Linked DNA regions of Tribolium castaneum. The protein of the gene in region 1 interacts with the protein of each later gene in a pairwise test. Links are inferred from orthologs where the notes say so. Each region holds a gene or a part of one and is shown on either strand. Other genes may lie near its edges.

What was found. The genes of interacting proteins can lie anywhere in the genome.
Region 2: the proteins of fand (region 1) and cyp33 interact in a two-hybrid assay, tested with the Caenorhabditis elegans proteins (2 studies listed by BioGRID). The link is inferred for Tribolium castaneum from reciprocal best matches to the Caenorhabditis elegans genes syf-1 and cyn-13.

Annotation. Positions count from the first base shown.
Region 1 is NC_087398.1:14,018,554-14,021,074, reverse strand, and holds the end of fand (pre-mRNA-splicing factor syf1 homolog), read left to right. Parts: intron 1-405; coding exon 406-1,868; 3' UTR 1,869-1,927; downstream 1,928-2,521.
Region 2 is NC_087394.1:24,073,869-24,077,937, forward strand, and holds cyp33 (peptidyl-prolyl cis-trans isomerase E), read right to left. Parts: upstream 2,852-4,069; coding exon 2,648-2,851; intron 2,601-2,647; coding exon 2,421-2,600; intron 2,372-2,420; coding exon 2,165-2,371; intron 822-2,164; coding exon 504-821; 3' UTR 442-503; downstream 1-441. Other genes in the region: small subunit processome component 20 homolog, read right to left, coding at 1-8; palmitoyltransferase ZDHHC8, read left to right, coding at 3,204-3,295, 3,355-3,473, 3,518-3,675, 3,727-3,899, 3,968-4,069.

The sequences.
Region 1 (2,521 bases):
AGAATCATATTATGTAAAACTATATAGGGTGTTTCATAAAAAAAATAACTTCACCACTCTGTGTACAATAAAAATATTTTTAGTTTGTGGACCATCTATCGATCTGTCGGACTATCTATCGGATGATTAAAATGGCATGGCAATATTTCAAATAACAAAAAAGTTATGGATTGATTATGATTACGCACCCCTGGGTCACACTGTATTTAGTAAAAAATTACTCTTAATAGACCCTATAGATAACATCGGTCTCCTTGTAAAAATAATTTTTTAACACAAAAGAACGTCAAGTAATAGCAAAATTTATTGGACTGTTATTTTTTGTTTTCTCATAAAAATTGTTCTTTTTAAATCATCAAACCTAAAGTCAGGAGTTACAAAACATTTTCTTTGTTTTGTGTTCAGGAAAACCACACGAAATCATCAACACCTACACCGAGGCGGTGCAAACCGTCGACCCCAAACTCGCCGTAGGCAAACTGCACACCCTCTGGGTCGAATTCGCCAAATTCTACGAAACCAACAAACAAATCGAGGACGCTCGTCTCATTTTCGAGAAAGCCACTCAAGTGGCGTACGTGAAAGTGGACGATTTGGCGACGGTTTGGTGCGAATGGGCCGAAATGGAGATACGAAACGAAAACTACGAGCAAGCCCTCAAACTCATGCACAGAGCTAGCACCATGCCATCACGCAAAGTGGCCTATCATGACGACACCGAGACCGTGCAAGCCAGACTGTACAAGTCGCTGAAAGTCTGGTCGATGTTGGCCGACTTGGAGGAGAGTTTCGGGACGTTTAAGTCATGCAAAGCGGTCTACGACAGGATTATTGACTTGAAAATTGCAACCCCGCAGATTATTATCAATTACGGGTTGTTCCTAGAGGAGAATAATTATTTTGAGGAGGCGTTCCGGGCCTATGAGAAGGGGATTTCGCTGTTCAAGTGGCCGAACGTTTACGACATTTGGAACACGTACTTGAGCAAGTTCTTGAAGCGTTATGGGGGGAGCAAGTTGGAGAGGGCGCGCGATTTGTTCGAGCAGTGTTTGGAGAACTGTCCTCCACAATTCGCCAAACCCCTCTACCTCCTTTACGCGAAGTTGGAGGAGGAGCACGGAATGGCCCGACACGCCATGGCTGTGTACGAAAGGGCCACAAACGCTGTCCCTCAGGAGGAAATGTTCGAAATATTCAACATTTACATCAAAAGGGCGGCCGAAATTTACGGGATTCCCAAAACGCGCCAGATTTACGAGAAAGCGATTGAGGTCCTTCCGGAGGACAAAACTCGGGAGATGTGCGTCCGTTTCGCCGATATGGAGACGAAGTTGGGCGAGATCGACCGAGCTCGCGCCATCTACTCGCACTGTAGCCAGATTTGCGACCCGAGGGTCACGACTGAGTTCTGGCAGATCTGGAAGGAGTTTGAGGTGAGGCACGGGAATGAGGACACGATGAGAGAGATGTTGAGGATCAAGAGGAGTATCCAAGCGATGTACAACACTCAGATTAATATGATGTCGGCTCAGATGCTGAGTTCGGCGAGTTCCGTGGCGGGGACTGTTGCTGATCTGGCGCCGGGGGTTAAGGATGGGATGCGGTTGCTTGAGGCGAAGGCGGCGGAAATGGCAGGGACGTCGAGTGGGGTCCGGCCTGGGAATATTATGTTTGTGAGGGGAGAGACGCAAGGGGATAATAAGGATAAGGTTGTTAATCCGGATGAGATTGATATTGGGGATGATGACGACGAGGAGGAGAATGAGGACGAAGGGGAGGATGTGCCGGTTGAGAAGCAGAGTATTCCGTCGGAAGTGTTTGGTGGGTTGAAGAAGAAGGATGATCAGGGGGAACAGGATGAGGGATGAATGGGTTAATCTATTATTACTGATGTGTATTTAAGGATAAATAAAGTGTTTTACTTTTACTACTACTGTTTTACTTATTTGTTCAATAAAAAAGAAAAAAACCATTTGACCAAAAAATCACATTGGCTGTTTTTTACATCAATGGATCGGAAATGCGAAATAAAATTATTCTGGAAAAATTTAACTTGAAAAAAATAGTTAGAATTTGATTAAAAGCCATTTTGACATTATTCATAGGGAATTTCAGTCTAATTTATGAGGGACAAGATTGAGTAGTAATAAATCTCCGCTACAAAAGGACCCACTACCTACCCCAATAACAGTAATGATGACTGCAGGAATTTTACAACTAGCGGCACGGTCCTATCGGGCAGTTTTAAAGCCAGGACCGGAATAAGCACACTAACGTATTAAAAATTAAATTGATGACTATTTTGGTCTAAGCACAAACGAATTCTTCGTTTACAATTCGCATGAACCCTTGCCGCAAGATTTAAAGATTAACATTCCATTTGCAATAAACAGATCAAATAAATGGGAATCCGGGCCTGAAAAATTCTTACTGGCTGCCTCAACCTTCAGACCCAACAATGATCGCGTGCAAATTTTACGACAAATGCAATAAATTTTTGAAAACCACCATCCTGATAGAG
Region 2 (4,069 bases), on another chromosome or scaffold:
TTCTTCATTGTGGTTGGATTAAATTAAACTAGTCTTGATATTCAACAAAATAAAAACATGCTGCGGTCAAACATAACCTATCAATGATAAACGTAACCTCAATCCTCAAACTTGAAGAACCCAAAGTTGCCAACTCAATAATTTATCGTCAGGTTTATAACTTGCACAATAATACCAATTTTTGTAACCTATTTTGTGAATAAAGCGAGGTGTTTCATTTATTCTTTTCATGTAATCTTTGTGGCAAAGTAAATAAATAAAGACAAATTCTTTTGCACAAGTTTAATTTGGCAATATGGCTGTCGGTAATGTAGCAAACATTAAAAAGGTAATTTAAATATTTTCTTGTTATTTTATTTAAAGTATTTAAATCTTTTTTTGTGCTCTTTTAAAATACGAAAAACTAGTGCCTAAAACATTCCTGGGTAAATAAAAATACAATTTACGTTTAGTAAGTTCTTTATTATTTTCATTACATAAAATCAAAAATTCTTAAATATTTTTTATTGTATTTCTCCACACGCTGCTATTACTACTTTCTCCGTGGGCGTCCCACTCTTGGTCCCACACCTTTCCATCCTTCTCACAACGTCCATCCCACTTATAACATGCCCAAAAACCACGTGTTTTCCATCCAACCAATCCGTTTTTGCCGTGCAAATAAAAAATTGCGACCCATTGGTATTTGGTCCCGAATTGGCCATTGATAAAGTCCCTGGACCCACGTGTTTCAATTCAAAATTTTCATCAACAAATTTCCGACCATAAATTGATTTTCCTCCTGTACCATTGTGGTTGGTAAAATCGCCACCTTGACACATCTAACCGTCATTAAGGAATTTAGCAAGTAATGTTGGCAACTTAATTTCACAGCCGTAGCCCTCTTTAATAAACAGGTCCCAGCGAGCCGAAAAGGCTCCAAAATTTTTTTATTATTAGACATATTGATTTTTCCTTTTTTAGCTTACAGCTGCGTTTCTGCTGCATATTTTGAAAATATTGAGGTAGTCAGGGTTAGGGCTAGGAATTTTTACCGATATATCGATAAAAAGATCGATATATCAATATATATAGACATATCGATAATTATCTAAAACTGTCGATACACCACATGCCGATAACTATCGATAATTTATTATCAATATTCCGACAAATTTCGTTATTATCGTTTAACTTTAGTTAAACGTAAAAAATTAGATCTTCTCAAAAAAAATTATCGTACAAGATTTAATTTTTTGTACAATTGTTAAATAGAGAACTGAAAAATGTAATCAAAACCAAAAACAGTTGAGGATTGCCTACCCAAAAAAGACGGCGATTTAAAATCGACGGGTTAGAACATTTTTTGCAAAAATATTAGCATTAGTACAAAACTTTATGATTTCTGTATAATTTAAACATAAATTTAACAAAAAAAACAAGTATTTCACCATTTCAACTTTTTTAAATTTAACAGTAACATTTATTAGGTACTATCATTTATCTATAAATACCCATGTTTTTATCGCTCTATCGTAAATATCGATACTTCAATATAATATATCGATATTTCGCCAATCTTCGATATGTATCGGTGTATCGATATATCGGTATGTATCGATTATTGATATTTAAATCTTAATATCGCCCACCCCTAGTCCTGGTAACGACAATGCTCATAAATAATGTGTACTGCTGCTGAAATTAATTTTTAAAGTAAAATAGATTTTTAGTTATTAACTTTAGGCATTTGAAACTTTATGTTTTTAGACAATTTAATGACCTTTAAGAAGCAAAAACAAAAAATAGGGTGTTCTATTTAACTTTTCCAGGTTATCCAACTTTTAACAAACTTCTTAATTTTTCTACGTTCCTAATTGCAATGCGTTAAACAGTTGATACAGATTTAAGTTTGAAAAACTGAAAAAAACAAATTATTTCAAAAACTAAACAGAATCGATTACGTCCAAAACTGTAATAAAATTTAAAGTGTTCTATTTGAAAAAAACATAACTAGTTTTTTTTTTTAATATTGGGAAATCTTAAAATATACCGCAATATTTTTAACATCTGTAGCAGAAACACAGTTATAATCCAGAAAAAAAAGAAAAAGTGAATATTTCTTATGATAAACAAGTTATGGGGCTTGTTGACAATATAATTTTTCTTTGGGTAAAAAGGATACAAAGTCTGGAATTATTCTATGGAAAGTGGAGCCCTGAAAACCGTAACCCTTTTCATGGGTGCATAAACACCTAAAATTTTCTGCAGTTCTGGGGACCACATCAGCCCTCAACAGCATTGTTATTCTACCGACTTCAGTCTTGCCAATCTTAATGTCGAAGTAAACTTGAGGGTTTTTGACTTTTTTGCTGTCACTTTTGTCAGCATCCTGGGAAAAAATTGCTCAAAAAAATCAAAAAATCAAGAGAAATTTTTACGTTATCTGTTGCCTCTTTAGTTCCATCATCAGGATCATTAATAGTCTTGCCGATTGTCTCGCCTGCGTGCTGCTGAAGCCAGGTGTCTTCAGACCAAACAGGCCGTGTCGAACCCTCTTTAATTCGCTGTGGTTTGGCTAAATTGACTCTGATGGTTCTACCAAAAAGCTCAGAATCATTCTAAAACTGATATTTAAAAATTGTCCATTATTTAACTTTGGTGTTACCATATTGTCGATTGCTGCAGCCGCGTCTTCCGCACTCTCAAACTCGATGAAAGCGAACCCCCTGTGCTTTTCCGTCTCATAGTCCAGAGGGATCTGAATGTCGACAATGTCACCAAAGGGGATAAAAGCCGCGTTCAGGACTTTATCGTCGACTTCTTCGGCGAGCCCCCCGACGTAAATAGTGCGTTTGGAACCGGTGCTCATTTTTCAAAAAACATTGACACAACCTCACTTTTGTGCGAAACCTTTGACACCCTTAACGCGCCTGCGCAACTATCAAGTGTTTAACCATCATTGGATTTTTACGTAAAAACGTAAATTAATGGCATTTTAATTACTACTTGAGCACTGCCGTCCGTTTCAATTCAAGTAATTAATGTGAAAAATCGATATAAAAGTGTGCGACTTGGGGAATTTCTTTTCCCCCGATTTTGTCAAGTGTCAGATGAGTTTGACAGGGGCAACGAACGATAACTTCTCCCGTTTGTCTCAGCCATGTTGGCCTGTCTGAGGCGAAAATTCGAGTTTTGCGCGAGATCTTGAGTAAAAAAACATTATGCCCAAGTGCGATGTTAAAACTAGATACATACCAGCGACTTTTGCTTGGACTTTACTGTTGGTAGCCACAACGTTGTTCTTCTACTACCCGTGAGTTATTCCTGTCAGTGTTTATGTTACCAAATTTAGGCAAACGTTACGCTTGTTAGAGCCCGATACTACTTAGAGGATTATCCATGGGTGCCCGCGTACCAAGGAGTGATCACGTTCTTCGTCCTCGCCAATTTCACCCTCGCTACGTTCATGGACCCGGGGGTCATACCAAAAGGTGCGTAACAACCCCCTTGTAGCGCTAATTGAGCTGGTTTTTAGCCCCTCCTGATGAAGACCGCGAGGACGATTTCAGGGCCCCCTTGTACAAGAACGTGGAGATCAACGGGATTACGGTGCGGATGAAATGGTGCGTCACGTGCAAGTTCTACAGACCACCGAGATGTTCACATTGTAGTGTTTGTAACCACTGTATAGAAGTGAGTTGTGGAATTGGTTGAAAAAATTGGTAAATCCCCGATTTTTTACAGACTTTTGACCACCACTGTCCATGGGTCAATAATTGCATTGGGAGAAGAAATTACCGATTTTTCTTTTTCTTTCTCATCTCACTTAGCTTACACATGATCAGTATATTTACTTTAAGCCTAATTTACATCCTCAAATATGGTGATACTTTCTCCAACGCTGAACCAATTATTGCGTATCCTTTTCGATTTTTTTGTTACGAATTTTCAACATTCTAGCTAATTTTACCTTAATTTTTCCCAGTTTTGTCTTAATGGGTTTGGTGGCTTTGTTAGCTATACCAATTTTTGGCTTAACAGGGTTTCATATGGTTTTGGTCTCGAGAGGAAGGACCACCAATGAACA